Linked DNA regions of Elephas maximus indicus. The protein of the gene in region 1 interacts with the protein of each later gene in a pairwise test. Links are inferred from orthologs where the notes say so. Each region holds a gene or a part of one and is shown on either strand. Other genes may lie near its edges. The genes, in order: PCBD1, HNF1B and HNF1A.

The links.
Region 2: the proteins of PCBD1 (region 1) and HNF1B interact in binary tests that used the Homo sapiens proteins (3 or more experiments, as listed by UniProt). The link is inferred for Elephas maximus indicus from reciprocal best matches to the Homo sapiens genes PCBD1 and HNF1B.
Region 3: the proteins of PCBD1 (region 1) and HNF1A interact in binary tests that used the Homo sapiens proteins (3 or more experiments, as listed by UniProt). The link is inferred for Elephas maximus indicus from reciprocal best matches to the Homo sapiens genes PCBD1 and HNF1A.

What each region holds. Positions count from the first base shown.
Region 1 is NC_064834.1:16,847,127-16,854,694, forward strand, and holds the start of PCBD1 (pterin-4-alpha-carbinolamine dehydratase), read left to right. Parts: upstream 1-3,419; 5' UTR 3,420-3,547; coding exon 3,548-3,550; intron 3,551-4,523; exon of another isoform or gene 4,524-4,745; intron 4,746-6,863; coding exon 6,864-6,995; intron 6,996-7,554; coding exon 7,555-7,568. UniProt on the Homo sapiens protein: Involved in tetrahydrobiopterin biosynthesis. Seems to both prevent the formation of 7-pterins and accelerate the formation of quinonoid-BH2. Coactivator for HNF1A-dependent transcription.
Region 2 is NC_064837.1:31,002,509-31,010,076, forward strand, and holds the start of HNF1B (hepatocyte nuclear factor 1-beta), read left to right. Parts: upstream 1-3,007; coding exon 3,008-3,351; intron 3,352-7,568. UniProt on the Homo sapiens protein: Transcription factor that binds to the inverted palindrome 5'-GTTAATNATTAAC-3'. Binds to the FPC element in the cAMP regulatory unit of the PLAU gene. Transcriptional activity is increased by coactivator PCBD1.
Region 3 is NC_064840.1:18,353,011-18,360,578, forward strand, and holds the start of HNF1A (hepatocyte nuclear factor 1-alpha), read left to right. Parts: upstream 1-3,295; coding exon 3,296-3,621; intron 3,622-7,568. UniProt on the Homo sapiens protein: Transcriptional activator that regulates the tissue specific expression of multiple genes, especially in pancreatic islet cells and in liver. Binds to the inverted palindrome 5'-GTTAATNATTAAC-3'.

The DNA.
Region 1 (7,568 bases):
CTCAAAAGTGAGAATTCCAGGAGACAAAGCAGAATTGATAAGGTTTCTTTTGATTAAACACAGAAATCACATAGTGACACTTCTACCACATTTAAGTAGTTATACGGGCAGCCCAGATCCAGTATGGGAGAGAGCCACTCAGGGTGTGAATACTGGGAGTCAAGGCTCACTGGACAGCCATCTTTGAAAACAAGCTAACATAAAAAAAAAAAAAAACATACTAACTTACAAAAGGGAATCTTCATATGGTGGTCTTAAATTAGGTCCCTAGCTGGTACAAACAGTTTGCGCTCAACTGTTATCCTAAAGGTTGGTGGTTCGAACCCACCCAGCGATACCATGGAAGAAAAGTTCCAGAAATCTGATTCCGTTAAGATTAAAGTCAAGAAAACCCCATGGAGCAGTTCTCTTCAGTAACGCACGGTGCTACGAGTCAGAATAGACTCAATGGCAACCAGTGATGACAACAGGTCTTAAATTTATCTAACTGTAAAGTTAAGGGAAGAAAAGGTAGAAGAATATTTTTGTGACAGGAGTGGGAAAGGACTTATCGAATAAAGCTTCAAAAGCACAAAATCACAGGGCAGAGGAAAAAAAAGATGGATCATATTATATCACAATACAATATTTCTGGCAACGAAGGAAATCATGGAGAAGTTAGCATACAGATGGCAGGATTGAGGAGATACCTGCAGTATCTAAAACTGAGAGGCAATTAATGTCTAAATATAAACTCCCACAAATCAACTAAAAAAAGAGAGCATTCTACATTTTTTTAAATGGGCAAAGATATTAAAAAGCAATTTACAAACAGTAACCCTCAATACTAACAAGCTTATGAAGAGGTGCTCAAAATCATTCGTAATCAGAAAGGTGCAAAGTAAAACAGCGAGCTATCATTTTATACCTATTAGCCTGGCAAAAATTAAAATGCTGGATAATACCAAGTGTGAGTATGTTTGCATGAGGAACGTAGGGAAATAGGAACCCTCACACACTGCAGGTGAGAAGAAGGACTGGTACAGCCATCTGGACAGCATATGAAACTATTCTGGGATATATGTACCCATAAGAGGAACTGCTGGATTTATAGAGATGTATATATATCTAAGTCGTCTAAGAAACACTCTCACAGGCCAGGTAGCTATTAAAGGAGGATGTCCACTGCAGCATCATTTCTTGGTTGTTTTACTTAGTATGTGTGTGTGCATGTATTCAAGGCCTTGGGTAGTAGCAGTGATAATGGCAGACCGTTGGGGGCCAAGCTGAGTGTCCATCACTGGTAGAATAATACACAATGGTGGATTCTCACTATGGAATACTAAGCACCAGTTAGAAGCCACAGATTAAGTACACATAGAGCAGCATGAATGAATCTTAATTTTCCACTAAGCATTCTGTTTTGTAATGAACAGATTGATATATGTAATGCAATACCATTTACATAAATTGAAAATACATACAGATGAAACAATATGCATTTTGCAAGGATATGTACAACAAAAACACACATTAACACATAAGAAAGGTTGCTACTGGGGGCAGAGGAATAACAGTACAAGGATAAAAAGCTAATAGAAAAAAAAGTTAAATATTAGAGGATTTATATTACCCAACTTCAAGACATAATAAAGCAACAGTAATCAGACAGTGTGGTATTGACGTCAAGATAGACAAATAGATCAATGAAACAGAATAGACAGCCCAGAAATAAACTCACATATAAAGGGTTAACTGACTTTTTTACAAAGGTACAAAGGCAACTCAGTGGAGAAACAATTGGATATTGATATACAAAAAGTGAATTTGGGTCCTTAACTCCCAGCATATAAAAAAATTAACTCAAAATGGATCATACACCTAAATGTAAAACTGAAAACTATAAAACTTCTAGAAGAAAACATAGGAGAAATGTGACCTTAGGTTAGGCAAAGATTTTTTAGCAACACCACCAAAATAGCAATTCACAAAAGAAACATTTGACAAATTGAAGTTTATCCGATAAAATTAAGAACTTTTGCTCTTTGAAAGACACTGTAAGAAAATGCAAACAAAATATTTGCAAACCATATATCTGATGAAGTTCTCGTATCCCAAATAAAATACTCTCAAAATTCAAAAAGGAAACAATCCAGGTTTTTGTTTTTTTTTTTAATGGGCGGGAAATTTGAACAGGCAATTCACCAAAGATTTACCTATGGCAAATAAGCACAGGAAAAGATGTTCAATATCATTAGTCCTTAAGGAAACTCAAAACCACTAGACACTAATTAGAGTGGCTAAAATGAAAGGAACAGACCATAGGAAGTGTTGACAAGGATGTGGAGGAACTGGAACTCTCCTATGCTGCTGCTGAGAATGTAAAATGATAGAACCACCTTGGAAAATAGCTTGGCAGTTTCCTAAAAAATTACAAACAGACCTAGTCACAATTCCACTCCTAGATATTTAGCCAAGAGAAATGAAAGCATATACCCATACAATGACTTGTACACAAATGGTCAGAGCAGCTTGACTTGTAATAGCCCCAAACTGGAAACAATCCAAATGTCCATCAACAGATGAATGGATAAACAAATTGTAGCATATCCATAGCATGTAATACTATAAAATAATTTTTAAAAATTATTTACAATAAAAAGGAACTATTGACACATGCTGGCTTTCTGAATGGTGCAAATAGCTTGCACTTGACTACTAACTGTTGGAATCCACCCAGCGTTGCCCAGGAAGCCCTAAGATTACAGCCACTGAAAACCCTATGGAGCACACGGGGTTTCCACGAGTCGACTTGACCGTAATAGGGTACTGAAAGATGCAACAACATGGACGAGCCTCAAAACAATTATGCTGAGTGAAAGAAGTCGGACCAAAAGAGAGAGAGAGAGATTATATACTGTATGATTCCATTCACGTAAAATTATAGAATATAGAAAATACAAATTAATCTACAATGACGGAAAGTAGATCAGTCGATGCAGGTGCGGGAAGAAAGGGCCTACAAAGCGGCAGGAGGAACTTTTAGGGATGATGGATATGTTCATAGTTTGATTGTGCTGATGGCTTGACGGTGGCATACATACCTCAAAACTTCTCAAATTGTGCCCTTTGAATATGCGCAGTTTAACGTATGTCACTTACACCTCAAAGTGCTTGTAAAACGGAAAAGGCGAGGTCATCCTGTGTCTAGGATCACGCAGCTGCTAAGCGGCAGAGCACGGTTCAGACGCAGAAGTCTGCGTTTGAAGCCCGGGTTACCACTCCCCAAACTCCTTGGAGCAACCGCACCGACGGCGGCGCTAAGAGGAAAGGCAGGCGCTGCAGGGACGCCGAGCCCCGGCGGGTGCGCCGCTGTGAGCGTTAATCATTACCTGGGTCGGCCGCTCCGGCGCGAACGGAAAGGCGGGCCGCGGGCTCCACCCCGGTCGGGGGCGGGCCGGGGACGGCCCGAGCGGGTTCCGCCCGGCCGCTCGCCTAGTGCGCCTGGCCGCGGCGCTCGCCTCTCGGCCGGCCGCCTGCTGCCTGCCCGCGTCCAGCGCGCTCCGACATGGTGAGGGAGGGCAGGGCGGGCCGCGGGAGGCCGGCCGCCGGGGCTCGGAGGAGAGGAGGGGGGCAGCCGGTCCTGGCCCAGGCCCGCCGCGAGGCCGGGAGCCGAGGGGCCCCGGGAGCGGAGGGGCCCCGGCAGCCGAGGGGCCCCGGGAGCGGCCGGACCCGCCGCTCTCCGCGCTGCGAGGGTCGGCATTTCCGGGTCTCGGAGCGGCCGCCTGGAGTTCACGCCCCGCTCCCAGCTCCTGGGGGTGCACGAGGGGAAGCTGAGGCTCCCAGAGGGGCGGTGCAGGGCCGGGTAACCGCGAGCGGGAGCCCAGGCCTGGCTCTGACTTCCAGGCCAGGGCTCGCTCCGCGCCGCGGTGCTGGGGCGGGGCTGTGGGAGCAGGGAACGGGTGAGGCGAGGCGTCCTAGGGAGCCAGCAGTTGTCGTCCCCGTTAGTGGCACGTTTCTGTTCTCTTCTGGGGGGAGACTGAATTTGTGTGTGCTTGTGCGTGCGTGTGTACTGCCCCTTCTCGATTGCGCTTCTGACCTCACCTGGGTACAGCGTCTGTCTGGGACCAAGGCCCATCAGTGGAGGCATGATGGCCCAGGACCATTTAGTCCGGGCTGAGCTGTCCGCCAGGAGGGTCTGGGCCCTTGACTCAGCGTCAGCACTCCCACCCTCAGCCAGGGAGGTGACGGTGAGCCTGTGGGGGCATCAAGGAAGCTTTACTAGACACAGCCTATTTCGGCCCCAACACATTCGGGGCAGTGAGGACTGCGGTGACAACAGGGAGGGCCTTTTGAAAACTGTGGCTTGGGGGTGGGTTTGGGGGGCAGTGAGTAAGGCTGTTGTGAACTGCAGGAGGCCCCAGACACAGGGGGCGGGTAATCAGTATCCCTCTGCACACCCGCTTAGGCTGGAGGCAGAGTTCAGGCCTGACGGTGAATTTACTAATCAAACATGGCCCCTTCCCCCTCCCTGATCCCACAGGCTGTGGGCTTTGGGGGGTTCCAGAAGACTCTGAGGAGAGAGGGCGTTCTCCCAGGAACTCATCAGTCCCACCCACCCCTCTCAGAGCCAAAGGAGTGAACAGTGGATTTGGGTGCCTGGGCTGACTTCCGGCCATCTGGTTGCCTGGATACATGGACCAGGCTTATTAGCACTGAGAAGGGCAAGCTCCGGAATAGAGAGAAGGTTGCGTGGATGACGCCGAGTAAGCACTGCCATCTCGGTAACCACTGAAGAGGAGGAGAGGGGCCAGATCAGATCAGTTTGGCGAGGGAGGGGGGACACCAGTCTTCAGGAGAGAGGAAAAGATTGATCTATCAGTGCCTGGCAGTGCCCCTCCAGGCCTACCCAAACCCTGCCAGGCCCATTGCCAGCCCACTTAACCCAAGAAGTCTTTAGGAAATGCAGTAACAGTGCACTTTATCAAATTGTCCTGTTAACTCCTCGTGCTGATCTGTGAAGTGGAAGTTTTTGTCCGTATTTTCCGCACGAGTCCAAGAGAGGTGAAGTGCCACATGGCCGACAAATGGCAGAACTGGGGCTTGAACCTCTCCTGCCAGTTCAGCCCAGGGCTGTCAGGCTGAGGGTTGCAGACCACTTAACACCCCTCACATTCTCTCTCCAGACTTAGTGATTTTTTTCAGTTTAGTACTTTATCAGTTTCTGCCCTTGGGTGATTCTCTCTCTGGATTCTACATTCTGGGATCCCTTAAGCTCCTAGACCTAGACAGTAGAACTGACCTTTGCTTCATTTATTCTCTGAGGGGTCAACTCCTGGCCTGAATGGTGCCAGTCTGAGCCACCTGAGGGCACTTTGCACAATAGGTACATATGACAGGACCTGGGGTTCCAGGGCCATCTGTGATGGTGCCCATAGCCTCACGTCACCCCTCAGCATCCCATTACCCACCTGCCATACCCCACGCTCCAGGACCCAGGCCTGCAGTCAGCAACCAGCTGCTCCAGACTGTGTCCCATGCCTAAGGCTCTTCCCCCTCTGAGTAGCATGGCTCACCACCCCGTCAGTGTAGAGGGCAACTTCTTATCTTGGCTGAGCTTAAGAACTCCTTCCTCTAGGAAGCTGGTCCTGGTTTTCCTCTGGCCTCCCCACAGCATAATTGAACACTGCCTCCTTGAAGTCCCCACAGTCTTGCAGACAGACACTGGGGAGCCAGGCTGTGTGGGTAGGGGTTTATCTTGGCCTTTGGCCAAATGACTTCCATTTCGGGTCTGAACTCTGTGGCCCGGGCTTCAGAAGCTGCCAGAATAAAAAAAAAAGAAAAAACCCGTTGCCCTCAAGTTGATTCCGACTCATAGCAACCCTGTAGGACAGAGAAGAACTGCCCCATAGAGTTTCCAAGGAGCTCCTGGTGGATTCAAACTGCTGACCTTTTGGTTAGCAACTATAGCACTTAACCGCTACACCACCAGGTTATTCCCAGAATAGAAAAAAAATAAAAAAAAGAAGATGGAAAATCTGAGAAACTGAAGCCCAGCAGCTTCGGACTAGAAGCTGCGAGGTGAGAGTGACAGAGAACCTACTAGATATAGTGCCAGTGGTTGTCAACTGCAGTGTGCTAAGAATCACCTGGGAAACTTGTTTGAAATGGCAGTTCCTTCACCAGGCCCCCAGGAATGCCAATTCAGTGGTCAGGAGCAGGACCTAGGAATCTGCATATTTCTGCTGCAAGTGGTCCACAGACCACCCTGAGAACACTGCCTGCGCTGTCACTGACTAGGGGTAGGGGTGGAGGGAACAGCAGACAAGCCATTTCCCCTCCCTAGGCCTCAGTTTCCTTTTCAATATACCTAACAATGAGTAATAGCCGGGCCATGGGGGTGAACTAGAAAAGAAAGATAATAGAAAGGAAAGCTGGAGAGTTGGGGGTACTCTTTTCCTAAAAGATTGTATTGTAATAAATACACTTGCATCTGGGTTTGGTGTTGCTTTTACTTTCTTATTAATGTAACCTTAGTTTGGGAGGCGGAGGGGCCCCCCTCTAAGACTTTTGTGGGGTTGGGAGGAGTGTTTCTGGGTCAGATAGCTTCCCAGTGATTTGCATTATACTCATGGATTTTCCCTCTCTGGGTGGAGTGTAAAACCCCAAACCTAAGAACCTATCAGTGAATGAGGAAGGACCCCACCTCCTGGGCAGGGCCCACCCTCTAGACCTCCCCATCTATTGCTTAAAGATTAGCTGTTCTTTGACCTTTCACCCAGCATCCAGAGCAGCCAGGGGAGGCAACATTCCCCAAATGGTCTGAGCCTTCTCATTTGACCTGTAAAAATAAATGCCCTTTGGCCTGTTTTTTCCTCTCCCAGGCTGGCAAAGCACACAGGCTAAGCGCCGAGGAGAGGGACCAGCTGCTGCCAAACCTGAGGGCTGTGGGGTGGAATGAGGTGGAAGGCCGCGATGCCATCTTCAAGCAGTTCCATTTCAAAGACTTCAATAGGGTATGGGGCCAGGGTGGGACAGAATTTTGACACTAGGGCTGATGGGGTCATGCTCCAGAACTTGTTCTCTTCCTTAATGTCATGGTAGCATGACTATCAGATACGACTCTAACCTAGTTTATTTGGGCCCTGTGCCAGTGAGGAAATGAACTTCCCTAACTTACTTGGAAAGTGTCATCTTTGGGGGTTGGAGAGTGGGGAGATGGGTCTTGGGCTTTCCCTACCTGGAACTCTTAGGAAAGAGCCTCAGAGATTCTAGGGCCCTGCCTGGAAGCAGGGATGTAGGTCTGAGGACATGTTCGTAGATGGCCAGAGATTCACCAAGAACCAACCTCTTCTGGCATGTCCAACCTTGTTAGTGGTCCTGGTAACATGACTTTCTTCCTGCTGCAGAAAGACAACCTTAAACTCAAGCCTCAGAACAGTGACAGGATGCCAGGGGGAGGTGATGACAGCTCCAGGGGTCTCCCTGTAACAGGCTAGTCTGTCCTCCTGCACCAAGGCCTTAAGCTGCTCCTCTCTCTCAGAACACTAATCTAGGTCTCTCTTCATTCAATAGGCTTTTGGGTTCAT
Region 2 (7,568 bases), on another chromosome or scaffold:
TCCTATGTCTTATTTCCCCACCTTTAAAATGGGCCTGACTATATTAGTTCATCACCAACTTATCCTAGATGAAGGATAAATTAAGATTATTTTAACTGTACTATTTCTTCCTCTATTTGGGGGAAGTTTAACAAAGGGGTTTATTAGATAACTCATTTATTTAGCATTTATGACACACACCTTAATCTGCTTTATGACATATAACCAGCACTATCTGCTGGCCTACTTTTCTTCTTAAACTTCCATGTGAAGAGATGGGTATTGAATCTGTTCCCAGATGCACTGTTGTGGGTACTTGGTGAGCACCCACAGTGTACCAGGTGGCATATACAAACTACATTTGGACAGGAGGGTTGCGAAAATTTGCTGGATATGAATGGCCAGGTTACCGGGATACTCACAGGAAGTTTTCCTTATTCTTTCTGTGAAACTTCTTCTAAGTTCACATAGTTGTCTGGGGATGGGGGAGAAATGGGTTTGCTGACACCTAAATTTTGAAAGATAAAGAGGCTTAGGAGTCAGACTAGGCAGCACAGCAGTTGGAACTACAAATTAAAGCTTTGGTGTTAAAAGGGAAGTGATTGCTGATTTTTTAATGGGCTTTCCCAGCTAAACACAGAAACTGGTCTTCATTACACTTGAGTGCTTCTATCATGATAGCAAGTGAGCGACAAGGAAAGAGATTGATCTCCAGGGACATATACTCTGAACACTTCATTATCGTTGTTGAGGGGAGCTGGGTAGCCAGGGAAATTTTTTCATTGGGCAGAACTGTGAAGGGCAAGGACCTGCCATATGTCACAACAAACTCAAAAACAATAAAGTGAAATGAAGGGCCCTCGTTTGCACGAACTTATTATCTCTTTCTCAGGGGAAGAAAGACAGAGTGGTGTTAACCTTTCCTAGGTCTCCATGCATACAACCACCACAATTCTTTGAGGTTCTCAGCTGGCAGGTGGCCCAGGCACCAGTAGCAGGCCCAGTATTTAAAAGAGGCAGCCTAACTCCTCAGCAGCTAGGCTGGAACCAATCACATCTGGGGTTTCAGCATTCATACACCTGGAAGATTTGTTCCTAAACTCAGCAAATGAGAGTGCAGGCCCTTCCGCCTCTAGCCAGAAATCCCTTTCTACCCCCAGCCCGACCTCAGCTTCCTCCTAATTATCTTTTGAAAGTAGGAGAAGTCGGAGAACTTGCTTAGAAATTCCTTTGCAAATTCCCAGCTGATTCTGAATTTGTGTCCCTAGCCTCTCAGTTCCTTCAACCCGAGTGCTACTACCAGCTTTTAAAGGCTGGATCTCCTTGACTCCGAGAACACTAAGTTTGGTGGGGGTGGAAGGGTAGAGGGGGCGGTGGCTAGATTTTACTACTGGGGTTTCTGCCCTCCCAGACTGGAAAGTGTGAACACTACCATGAGACCACAGGTTTCACGCGTGGTCTCATTCAACATGTATACAACCTCCCTGCACTAGAGGTATCTGTAGCATCCCCGTTTCACAGATGATGAAACTGAGGCTCAGACAGGCAAAGGAGTAGTCCTCTGTCCTAGGACGTAGGGATCTGTGAGAGATGTATCCCAATAAGACCCTTCCCCTGTTCTTCTGCGGGTCAGGTCCCAGCCTGTAGACTTGGGTGCGCCTCACTCAGCCTTCCGTTCCCTTCCGCGGGGAGGGGAGATGCGGGCGAAAGTTCGCTGGTGCTGAAAAACCCACACCAAGCCCGAGGTGGGGGGGAAAAAAAAAACTTTCGCTTAGCGAATTTGCCTGCGTCTGCCCAACTTGGGTGTTCACGACTCCAGCCTCGTGTGACTTCGCGTCTGCAAAGCGCGTCCTCCGCCCCGAACCGCGTGTGTCCAGGAGCTGCGAACAAACCAGAAATCAGTCGGCTCCATCCATCCAGCGGCGGGCCGAGCTTTGCTTTCACTGCTAGAAGGGAGGCCCGATAATCCCAGTTTTGCTCCCAAAGCGGAGGCGCTTTGATATCCCTTGTTTAGACAGGAGAGCGCTGCCCAAGCGTCCACCTCCCCCGCGGCTTGGCCAGGCTGGGCGATGGTGCAGCCCCGCTGCTGGGGAGCTCAACTTTGGCTACTCCCTCTGACCATAAATTAGTTGGCGCCTCCTTCAAGGGTCCTCCCGACCCTTTCCCCTCATCTACGCTCTTGGTGCCGGAAGTTCTGCAAATCCAAACCGCCCAACCCGGCAGGTGAGGGCCTCGGGCCTGAGCAGCGGTAACCGAAGTAGAAATAAATGGGGTCCCTCCAATCTACCATTTATTCACCCCGCTCAACATCACCCCACTTCCTCCAACTCTCTGCGCCCCTCCTCAAGCTGTCAGTTTCTCCTCCGCCCGGCTGTTCTCCTGGCCCACCGCCTGCGTCGGCTGGAACGCCTTAAAGAGTCTCTCTACTCTTCACCTCCTCCCTCACCCCCTTATTTCAAGAGCACCTCAACTTCCTCTAGTTCTCACCTGAACCCCCGGAGCGCAGTTTCTTCATCTCTCGGGACTAAGGCCGAATCTGCAGCCGGTGGAAAAGCCCTGGCGCCTTCCACACTAGGCTGCAAGCTACTTGCTTAACAAGTCCAAAGGTCAGCTAAACTTTGGCTGATAAACAGAATCAGGAGAAGAAGAGCTTTAGCCCCCCAGCGTGATTACAATGGATCCTGGCAAGCCCCGCTCGGCCCGGGGCCTCGGCTCCCAGTGTCTGCCCCTCGTGCTCTCCCTCTCTCTCGGTTTTCCCCCCTCCCCACCACCATTTGCATCTTGCCGAAAGCCGGGCCCTTCCCACTAATTTGCATATCTTATATGGCCTAATGGTGGCGATCATGGCAAGGTAGAAGTTTTCTGACTCCTCTGGAGGAGACTCCGGGCCCCGGAGAGTAACAGGTGTCTGGAGGCTGAAGGGTGGGGGGGCTCCCGGACTTGGGGTTCGCTGGTGAAACTCCCCCTCCACCCTCCTCTCTCGCACCCACCCACCCCCTCACCCCCTTTTTACCCCCGTCCTTGGAAAATGGTGTCCAAGCTCACGTCGCTCCAGCAAGAACTCCTGAGCGCCCTGCTGAGCTCCGGGGTCACCAAGGAGGTGCTGGTCCAGGCCTTGGAAGAGTTGCTGCCATCCCCGAGTTTTGGGGTGAAGCTGGAGACGCTGCCCTTGTCCCCCGGGAGCGGGGCCGAGCCAGACACCAAGCCGGTCTTCCACACTCTCACCAACGGCCACGCCAAGGGCCGCCTGTCTGGGGACGAGGGCTCTGAGGACGGGGACGACTATGACACCCCTCCCATCCTCAAGGAGCTACAGGCGCTCAACACCGAGGAGGCGGCGGAGCAGCGGGCCGAGGTGGACCGGATGCTCAGGTAGGCACCGAGCGAGGCTAGAGGTGTGCGCCTGAGACCTCTGCACCTTGGGCCCTGTGCCTGAGCGACACAGCGCTCAACCACTTTCGCCAGCCTGTTTCCCACCAGAAAAGTCCCCCGGGGGGCGCTCCGCTTCTCTCCCAACACCCGGACCCCTCCCAGTTTCTCAACCAAACGACTCCGGGACCCCGAGGCTTTCTCTCCCCAAACCTAGGCCCAGCGCCGGGACCCGAGGGATCCTCCAGGCTGGCTGGGGTTTGGCCGGGAGAACCGGCCGCTGCGAAGCCCTTTGCCTAGAGGTTTGCCCACGAGACTGGAGGTGCGGATGGGTGCCAAGACAGCAGTGTTTTCCCCAGTCCCAGATGCTCGGGCCTGCTACAAGCCCCAGGCCACTCATTTATCCTGGTTGCCACCTCTTGGGTCCGGGAAAAAGAAGGCCAGCCTCGGGCGCAGCGTTCTTTCGTTTCTTGCTGGGGGATTGGCGGCACTCAGGGCCAGGATCTCAGAGGCGGTTCTCTGGTGGGCACCCGCGCTAGCTGCGCGGGTGCAAGGTCCCTGGATTATCCCAAAGCCGGTTTACATTTGCAAAGGGGAATGCTTGATGTAGGATGATTGGGCCCACGCGGGGCAAAAGAAAGCACGCATTTAAGCCAACGTGGGGCAATTGCGGCCAAGAGCCCGGGTCTCAGCGAGTTTGGTCTCAACCTGAGAAAGGAGGGCACTTGGCGATCTCGCCGCCGACACTCTGGCGTTCCCCGGGGAATTCAGGCAGGCTGGCCGCCTATCTCAGTTCCAGGATCGTTTGCTGGACCTCCCCAGACGGTCCAGGGCTTTGACAGCTAGTTACTAATTATCCAAGGAGCAAAGCGGTTCCCTTAGACCACACGTCGCTCCCGGCCACTCGGCTTTAGGACCGAGCCGCTCGCGTGGCCTCGGACGCTCCAGCGCCTCGGTCTCGAGGCAACCGCCAAGACCCAAGTCGCTCCCGGGGCGCTGGCGGCCTCAGCCGCACGCCCGCGGCTGCAATTTGGGGTGGGGTATGACCTTGCATTTGAATTTGCGCTCCGGGGGCCCTACGGCTTGCCCTTCAGTCGGTGCATGGTGGGGGGGGGGGGGGAGACTTTATTTATTTTTTGAAGTATTTTGCTGCAATTCGTTTTGAGATTTTTTTTCTTCGCCTTTCCCCGGCGTGGTGGCGATTTCTCCCTGGCGGGCGTTAGGGCGCAGGAAAAGTGTGAGTCCCGGAGGTTGAGAGGGATCGGAAGACGAGTCCCTTGGAGCGTCTGAGGCACCAGCGCAGCCTGAAGGCTGACCCGGGCCTGGCCGACTACCCGAGCTCCCGTTGCCTTCCATCGGGGGCCAGCGGGCCTAGACCCTTTCGCTAGCCACAGGCGCCTGCTTTTTTGGCCCGGTGCTCGGAGGATCCGGGAAGCCCGATGGGACCTAGGGCGCCCCTCTACACCCAGCCCCGCGCCGGGCTGGTAGCAGCAGAGATGTAACATAAACTACAGCACGTGGAGTTGGGGTGTTATTAATTTATTTCTATAAATCATCAACAGAAAGATACACAAAGAGCAGTGATTAGGTTGAAAAGAGCAGCGGGTTATTCATTGGTGAAGTTGTAAACTAGGCTTAGAGGGGGAAGGAAATCCAAACTCGGACGCGGGGCTGCTAGCCGCTCCCAGCGCACACGCATAGTGCGCGGGGCGCGCCAGCCAGGCCCAGGTGCCGCCCGCCGTCTGACCCGGGCTGTCCGAGCGCCGGAGCCGCCAGCGGAGTCCGAGGGCCGCCAGAGAGAGCCAGGTCCGGCGGGGAGGACCCGGGACCTCAGCCCTGTTCCCTGTGCAAAGCCCCTCAGCTCCAGCAGGGCGGAGGGGGAGGGTGGGGACGCAGGACAGACTCCGAGGCTTTTCTTCCTTTTCCAAACGGGTGCGCCTCCCCTCCCCCACCCCCCCCCCCGGGAGTGGTCCGACTTTATTAAAGTAATTTTTCAAGAAAGTGTTAGCGGTTCCCAGGTCACTGCACAGTCGGCTCCCAAGCGCCAGCACACGCAGTCTCTTTTTTGTCCACCTTGTTCCCCTAAAGCAAAAAGAAAAGAAAAGGGAAAGCCACTTTTTTGGAGCGCCTGGACGTTCTTTATACCTCCTAGAAGATAAAGAAAAGAAAGCCGGGGAGTGCACGCTTCCCGGTTACCAACTCCCGGCCTTGCTCGCCGGCTTCTAGGGCTCGGGCGTGTTGGCGTTTGGAAAGTTAGCTGCTTTCAGAGAAGCCGGAGTTGAGCCTTCTTAACGAACGCGCGGCGAATTGCGGTAGGGTCGAGGGCTTTTCTGCTCGTGGACAGCCAAGTTATTGTTTGAAAAGGACCTTGCTGGGCGGACAATGCGGGCGCCGAGGTCGGGCGATTGACACCTGCGCTCTGAACACAATGGCCGCGCGCGCCTCTGGAGATCCGTGTATTTGTCCTGGTTGGAAACCCATGAAAATTGCTGTATTTTCAAATTAAAAAAAAAAAAAAAAGACTGCCAGTTCTCCGAGCTCTTCTCCGTGAATACATGTGAATTCTGGGGCCAGATAGCTTAAAGGTTTTACTATAGTTTATAGGATTTTCCTGAGATTTTTTTGTTTTTGTTTTTGTTTTGTTTTTAACCTTCCCAATTGTTGAGCTAATTTAGCACTCTTTCCACAAAACTCTTCTCACTTAAAACATTACACTATTTCATTAGGTTTCCTGAACACACAAAATTAACACAGGTAAAGAAATTTAAAACAAAACAAAAATAGCCAAGAAATCTGTTAAAGCAATAATAATAATAAAAAAAGCAATATTAACTTTTAAAATCCAGACACTTCTTCTCCCTTTTGAAGCGACTGTTCGAATTTGTTCGAAGTGTTTTTCCACCCTAGAAATACCCGTGGAAAAATTCTCCACGAGTTAGTTTTAAAATGATCTCTGATATTTAAATTGATATGTCCAAAATGCTTATTACATAATTTTTCTCTTATTCAAGGTCACTTTCCAAGCTTGAAACCGTAACACATTTTCTCATTTTGTTGTTTTTGTTGTTACTTCATTATTATATATTATGTGTCAGTACCTTTGTGAATACTTAAGAAATTCCTTATTAATTTACATATAATTAATACTAAAAGTTTGCGTTCCTCAAAAACTGTTAATCAAAGCTCGCGTTCTCCTGAATTTAATATCAAAGGCTTGCTTCAATAATCACAACTACTCAAATGCTTACAAAATATCTCGGTCTAGTTAATGGGCTTTTTTATTTATTCATTAGGCAAAGTTAATTTTATTTGACAAAGTATAGATAGCATGTAGAAATAAATTGGTTATTACATTGCAACACAGTATCTGTTTTGGCTTCTGCCTTACACCATTTTTTATTGCTTCACCCGAAATTAGTGCTTCCCTTTATTTTTCTGCTGTCTGTCAGGCTAATATACACATCAGCATACACTAGAGGGATGTTGGCTTCTGTAAATTAAATATGTAGCTGCATTAAATAGTGCATGTGGATGTATTGCTTCTTTAATATTTTGTTTGTACGGTGCATTATTGTCTTAATTTCTTGTTTTAAATAATATCTTATTTTTAAGTCTCCCATTCAATAAGCAAAAAAAAAAAAAAAGATATTGGCAAAGTTGAAAAACAGTTTAGATAAATAAAATCCAAACTTTTTTCTAAGCGAGGCACCAATACATTGCTCTTAAAAAGCTTTTTGCACACCTGGGTTTTTGAGAAATGAAAAATGTAACTATGTTCCTGCCCCAAGCTTGCAACTTATGAGAAACATTGATTTCCAGATACCCTTACCCTATATCAGAATAGACAGACTAGAAATGTAAGAATACAGAAAAGCAAGGTATATGGGATTGTTAATATCTTCTCTAGAAATTAAGGTTACTTGCACCATTGGGTTTTATTTGGGAGATAGGGCTGTGAATAATATTAGGGAAAAAAAAAACAACTTCATTTGCCTAACCGCATGGTATGATTGATTCCTCAGTTCCAGAGAGGAAGGTCTTGTATTTCTTAGAACTTTTCTACAACTCTGAAAGTTATTTAATATTTGACTAAGAAATCCTTTTTACTTCTGAGGAGGTAAACACATGTTTTACCCCCATTTTATTGATAAGAAACCGAGGCACCCATTCAGAAGAAAAATAAGGTGATAGAGGTCTAGTCTGAAATTTTAAAAAATTAA
Region 3 (7,568 bases), on another chromosome or scaffold:
GTGACTCTCAAGAAGACAAAATGCCTCTCCCACCCGTGAGTTAATTCAGCTTCACTCCCTGAGTATGGGAAGGAAGGCAAGCTGGGGGCTGGAACAGCCATTTCTGCTTACCCTACTACATCCCTTCCTGTCCATGAGAGGGAATGGCTATTCAGAGGGCCCCAGGCAGCCTCTGTGTGTGCTGGGAGCTGAAGGAGGCCCCTGGGGAGACCTCTCTGCCGAGACCCCCTGGAGGCTCTCCCCACCCACCACCATTCCCTCCCCCAACCAAATTCACCTTCAGTGCCAAAGTCACCAGTTCAGCCACCTGGCCATTGGAGGACCCAGCACTTAAGGAGTTCAAACATTGTGCAAAGGACCTAGGCCCCACACTCCTTGCTCCCTTTGGTTTCCTGTTCTAGATGAAAAGTTAGTGAGGGGTGGCTGCAGGCAGCCACCTGCCTCCTGGCTAGCGGGTATTGAGGGGGAAGACCAAGAAGCCACCATGGGACAGTTCATGGCACCTTCCCTGTCCTTTAGCCAGGGCCAGAATTCCTGTACTTGAGAATTTTGTACCCAGCAGCGAACTGCCTAACCCCAAAGCAACTCGTTTTGGCCACTGGGTGCGCTGCGGGAAAGGTGGAATCACACCCTCTCCTGGGGCAGCTGCCAGTGCCATCCTGCTTGGGTTTAAAACCCTGAACCATGGGACTCTGAGCAAGTCTTTGACCCTGTGAACCTGTTTCCTCCCCCACAGAATGGGAATATTAACAGTACCTACTCCATAGAGTTGCCTGGAAATGGACTACATTATTAAAGCTTAGCACGCTAAGTATGCATGATCAATGTGCAGTGAACTTTAACCATTCATTCATTCAACGACTGTTTATTGAGCACCTACTATGTGAAAACCAAAACCTGTTGCTTTTGAGTCGATACCGACTCATGATGACTCCACGTATTACGGAGTAGAACTGTTCCATGGGGCTTTCTTGGCTGTAACCTTTACAGAAGCAGATCGCCAGGCCTTTCTTCCGTGGTGCCATGGAGTGGATCTGAACTGCAAACCTTTAGGTTGGTAGATGAGTGCAAACCATTTGCACCATCCAGGGACCTTACCAACTATATAATGGAAACTATTCTAGGCACACTTGGTAAAAAAGAAGAAGAACCTCAATGAGATAGATTGACACAGTGGCTGCAACAAGGGGCTTAAGGATAACAACGTTTGTGAGGATGGGGCAGGACCGGGCAGTGTTTCGTTCTGTTGTACATAGGGTTGCTATGAGTTGGAACCGACTTGAGGGCACCTGACAACAACATTCTAGGCACTGGGAATACAGCAGTGGACAAAACAGACAGAAGCCCTGCCCTCAGGGGCTTATATTCTAGCAGATCATAAACAATAAACAAATTTGCATTAATTTAAGAACTATCTTTTATTGATATATAATTCACAGAATTGAAGAACAGGTGTACAATTCAGTGGTTTTTATTATACTCACGAGGATGTACAACTGTCACGTGCACAATTTTAGAACATTTTATCATCCCCAAAGAAACCCTGTGCCCTTAGCCAGCACCCCTATCCCCCAAGCCCTAGGCAACTACTAGTCTACTTTCTGTCTCTATGGACTTGCCCGTTCTGCACATTTCATATCCGTGGAAATCACATAATATGAGACATTTTGGTCTGGCTTCTTTCACTTAGCATAATGGTTTCAGGGTTCATCCATGTTGCAGCACGTGTTGCTACTCCATTCCTTTTTATGGCCGAATAATATACACATAGTATGAATCGACCACATTTTATTTATCTATCATTAGCTGATGGACATTTGGGTTGTTTCCGCTTTTTGGCTATATTATGAATAATGGTGCTGGGAACATCTGTGTACAAATTTTGGGGCAGACATGTGTTTTGAATCCTCTTGGGTTTTGTGTTCATTTTGATTTTCTGATATATTGCATTAGAATATTGTTTGTCTTGGCTACTGGGTTTTTTGGTGTTCCCTTAACCTGTGCACCCAAGGCAATTACCTGACTTGCCTCTCTCTAGCCTGGCTTTGCAAGTCTTGCCTCTTGCTAGCTGTGTGACTTTGGGTAAGTTGTTTAACCTCTCTGAGGCTTACTTGAGTTTCTTCTTCTTTCCTTGTACTACTCACAGTTGTTAGGAGGATAGAGGTAGTCCCCGATGACAAATGAGTTCTGTTCCTAAGTCTGTCTTTTAAGTCAAATTTTATGTAAGTTGGAACACTAAGGTACGCTTCATATCTACTTACTATCAGTTAGTCAAATGTTTGCTTTAGTACATGGTATATAGTGTACCTTTCTATGAATAAAAAACATTAAAGAAACACTTTCAGATACACAAAAACATGTTTAACATAATAATACAGTAATAATAATAAAGTTTTGATGCGTTTGCAAAGTAGCACTGGTTTGTTTTTTAAGAACCATTGTATATGTACCTCGAATTTTTAATATAATCGGCTTTATCGAGATTGGTTCGTTAAACTTAACCACGGGTAGTTTTTTTAGTATGTAAGTCTGAAGTTCCTAACCCGCGGGGCTGACTGTACAATAAAGCAGCAGTACCTATTAGAGATCCAGCGTAGCTGCTCAAGCACAGCAGACTCCAGTCAACAAGTTTTTCCTACCGGCAGGCCTGGTGTTGGGCCTGGTGTTGAGCCTGGAGAGGGAAGTCCCAAAATGGGCGTGATCTAGCCCTACCCTTGAGGAGAGCCTGCTCAGCTACTTAGAACTCCCTGCTACTTCTGTTCCCCAAGGAAACGTGTTTTTTTTTTTTTGCTCTCCTGCCTCAGCCTGATGCCCTGCGAGGCCCTCGGGGTGGACCCAATGATCGCGTGAAGTCCTCCCTGGGTCCCAACATCTTCGTCCCAACTGTCCTGGGCCCTGCGCCTCCGCCTCCCCCACCCTCTGCTCTGCCCACTCCCATTGAAGGCCGTGGCTCCTGGGCCCTCAGCGCTGCCGTGAGGCCTGCACTTTGCGCGCGGCAGGGCTGAAGTCCAAAGTTCAGTCCCTTTGCTAAGCACACGGATAAATATGAACCTTGGAGAATTTCCCCAGCTCCAATGTAAACAGAGCGGGCAGGGGCCCTGATTCACTGGCCGCTGGGGCCAGGGTTGGGGGCTGGGGGTGCCCACACGGCTCGGCTAGAGGGGCTTGGGGGGTGCAGTGGGTGCAAGGAGCCTGGCTTGGGCCCTCCGGGTTGCCGGCAGGTGGACGGCCCACGTGGTGGGGGAGCCCGTGAGCTAGGTGGTCCCGGGCCGCGTGGCCCAGTGGTGGTGGAGCCATGGTTGCTAAACTGAGCCAGCTGCAGACGGAGCTCCTGGCGGCCCTGCTCGAGTCGGGCCTGAGCAAAGAGGCGCTGATCCAGGCCCTAGGTGAGCCAGGGCCCTACCTGCTGGCCGGGGACGAGCCCCTGGACAAGGGGGAGTCCTGCGGTGGTGGCCGAGGGGAGCTGGCCGAGCTTCCCAACGGGCTGGGGGAGACGCGGGGCTCCGAGGACGAGACGGACGACGATGGGGAAGACTTCACGCCGCCCATCCTCAAAGAGCTGGAGAACCTCAGTCCCGAGGAGGCGGCCCACCAGAAGGCCGTGGTGGAGACCCTTCTGCAGTAAGGACCCCCTACTTGCCCCCAGCGCCCGAGATGGAGCCCACCCCAGCTCCTGACTGGCCTCTCTTCAGAGTCCGGAGTCCCCATGAGCTGTGGCCTTTAGTTATCGAGAAGGTGACCTGGTGGTGAGAGCTCAGACGGGTCCTGGCTGGGAGGCTGGAGCCCCTGGTCCCTGAGGCAGCCCCTCTGTAGAGTCTCCTGGCCCGGGAGCCATGCAGCCCAAAGCTCGGGAAGTAGGACATGCCCCAGGAGAGCTCCAAGGGGGCAAAAGGCCGCAGACACCGAAATTCAAATGCCCAGAGAGTCCAAGGTGGTGGGAAGAGGGTGGTGGGAATTTCTAGCCATCAAGGCCATTTCTGCTCCTCAAACCCTAACTTTCCTGCCCAGTCCTCAGAGTGTAGGCTCAGGGGCCAGGAAGCGCAGCTGGGGGCCTTGGCTGGGGGTTTTGGGGGCTTCCCCAACCATCTTGGGACTCCAGCATTTACCCAGGAAAGCCCAGATTTTTCTTACCTGAGGGGGATGGAGCCTGGGGGGCAGCAGCTGCTCCCCTTCCTGCACAGCCACAACCCCTCACACCCACACCTTGCCAGCAAGCGCCATTAGTGACTTCCTGGTCTGTACCCCCATCCACCTGCCGGCTCCCCATCTCCTGAACTGGGTGGGTCCCAGGCTGGATGCCTCCCCTCTCCTCAGCAGAGGTGACCTGGTTACTAATTACCCACGGGCTTTATTATTTCTCTTTTGTTTTATAAATTTATAAACAGCAAAAGGCTCTGATAAGGCCTGTGATCATTAACTTGTAGGGATGGTGGCCTGGAGAGGCCTGGGCCAACCAACCTTCCACCAGTGGGGGTGGAGGATGGGAGGTTCTGGTGGAGGAAGGGTGGCCTGGGGGCTGCAGGGACCTCCTTTTGGGAAAGGCTCCATAGCCTGCATCCCAGCAGCCACCCGCTTCCTGAGGTTTATGACTCGCCAGGCCCTGTGCTGAGGTTTCTCATTGATAATTTTGGTTAATGTTGAGATTAACCCTGTGAGGAAGCTGTTGCTCACTCTGCTTCACAGCTGGGGAAACTGAGGCTCAGTGAGGGGAAGTAGCCTGACTAAGGCGGCCCAGCTGGGCCTCCAAGCCCACTCTGTTTGGTACTCTCAACCCCAATGACTAGGAGCCAAGGGTGCTGGGCTGGCTGGGGAGCCTTAGGGTGAGCCCCCCAAAATGTTCTACAGGGGATTGCCTTTGTTCTGTCCAAGGTCCTGATCCCAGCTTGGGGTAGGGGAGGGCTGGTGGCTTGGGTCTTCCTCGTGGCCTCAGGGTGCCCCAGTTTGCCAGGCCTTGTGAGGGCCTGGGTAGGGGGCAGGGAGGCAGCTAGGGCCCCCTGACTTGGCAGGAAGAGGAGGGCAAAGGGCGGCAGGGCTGCAGGGGAGGGGCAAGGAGCCAGGCATCGCCAGATCCAGAGTGAGGGCAACCTGGGCAGGGTGGGGCTGGGCTGGACCTACTGGGGGCCCCAGATGGGTTTGGGGGTTCTAGGGTGAGGGAGCAGAGGGTGCTCAGGGCCTTTCTTACCTGGCTGGGTGGGGCCTCTTGGTCAGCAGCCCCTTAGGTGGGATGGTGGGGGGAGGCTTGATCCACAGCTCTCGATGGGGGAGCAGAGGTCAAGGTGCTCCCTGGGGACCAGGAGGGCCCTGGGGCCTTCCACAAAGCTGAAGGAGACAGAGGACGTCAGGGAGATGGAGAGAGAGCCTGGAGAAGCAGAGAGCAGAGGAAACCAGCAAGGAGAGGGGCCCAGGCCCAGCAGGGAGAAGGGGCTGGGAAGAAAGTGAGGCACCCCAAGCTGAGAGGAGAGGAGGCTGGAGTGCCTCCCGCCCGCCCCATTGGGTTTTCTTTAATGCTAACAGCGTGCTATTTACTTTCCATTTAAATTTGAGATGTTGCTATAAATTATCAACCAGCTCCTTGTTCCTGCAGAGTTTATAACTAACTACCTGGGTTACTTATTGTTCAGGTAACAAAAGGGATCTGAAAACGCCCTGAGAGAAAAAGTGGGGCTTCAGGCCTCCAGGCAGGGAAAGAAGACAGAGGCAAGGCCTGGGCTGGGCTGGGGTGGTGGGGGGAGGTTGAGGCTGGAAGAGATGGTGCAGCCTCAGGACCTCCAGGGGAAGCTGTGTCTCTGGAGAGGACAGGCATCTGAGAAGAGGCAGGTTTGGATACTGGGTCCCAGGCCTCCCTGGGGTGCCCCATGCTTGAGGCCACAGCAGAAACCTGTCTTAGTCCATGTGTAACCTTAGTCAAGTCTCTTCCCTACCTTCTGCCTTAGTTTCCCCCCACCTGGCCAATGAATAAAATCCAAGCTTCCTGCCCTGGTCTCTTCCCTCTCTCAACTTCCCTGTTCTCGTCAAGGCTCTCTCTCTCCCTCACTCACTCACTTTGCACTAGTTAAACTGACCTTGCTGTCCCTCAACAGACCAAGCTGATTTCCACCTCAGGGCCTTTGCACATGCTGTCCCTTCTGCCTGGAACCCTGGTTCCAGACTTTCCCACAGCCCATTCCTTCTCCTTCAGCTCAAACATCACCTCCTCAAGGAGGTCCTCCTTGACCACCCCATCTAAAGGTGGTTCCCACCCCTAGTAACTTTGTCTTTCACGGCTCTTATTTACCTTCTCCTATCACTTATCATTACCTTTGGCTATCTTACTTATCTATTTGTTAGCTTTCTTCTATCTCTTGGTATGAAAATAGAAACTCTTCAAGGGCAGGGCCTGAGTTGGGTGCTTGTTCACCACTCGTACCCTGGTATCTATCCCAGTGGCTGACATACAGGAGTCCCTGGGGGGTAGAAGTGGTTAAGCACTTGGTTACTCACTGAAAGGTTGGTGGTTCGAAGCCACCTTGAGGTGCCTCAGAAGAAAGGCCTGGCAATCTGCTTCTGAAAGGCCACAGCTATGAAAACCCTATGGAGCACAGGTCTACTGTGGCACACGTGGGGTCACCATGAGTCAGATTCGACTTGATAGCAACTGGAAACTGGTGGCTGACACATAGCACGAATGAATGAGAGACTAGGACTCTCTGAACCCTGGCACATATGCTGCCTCAGTGCCAGGGCCCAGCAGGCTGAGGCCGTGACCAAAGTAGGAACCTGGACCCAGGGTCCTCCCTATACCTGGCCAGCTCAAATCCCTAACCTGAAGCACTCTGATCCTCCTCATTGGGCAGCACCAGGGCACTGGGGCCCAGAAAGACAATGGCCAAGGTGGGACTAAGGATCTTACATCCCAGACTGAAGCCACGCCATGCCTGGGTTCGAATCCCAGTTCTGCCCCTTTCTAGCTCAGGCAGGTGATTTCATCTTTCTGAACCTCAGTTTTCTTCTGCAACGTGGAGATAACATTACTTACCCAACCAAAACCAAAAACTAAACCCATTACTATTAAGTTGATTCTGACTCAGAGGGACCCTATAGGACACAGTAGAACTGCCCCATAGGGTTTCCAAGGTTGTAAATCTTTTGTTTTTAATTTTTTTTACATTTTTTCTTTTATTTCAACTTCATATTTACACTTTTTTTTTTAATTGTGCTTTAGGTGAAAGTTTACAGCTCAAGTTAATTTCTCATACAAAAATTTGTACACATAATATTACGAAACACAAGTTGCAATCCATATAATGTGACAGCATGCTCCCTCTTTCCACCCCGGGTTTCCTGTGTCCATCCAGCCAGCTCCTGTCCCTTTCTGCCTTCTCATCCTGCCTCCGGACAGGAGTTGCCCGTTTAGTCTCGTGTATCTATTTGAGCTAAGAAGCACATTCTTCACGAGTATTATTTTATGTTTTATAGTCCAGTCTAATATTTTTTTAATTTTTATTGTGCTTTAGATGAAGGTTTACAAAGCAAATTAGTTTCTCATTAAACAATTAATAAACACATTATCTTAGAACATTGGTTGCCAA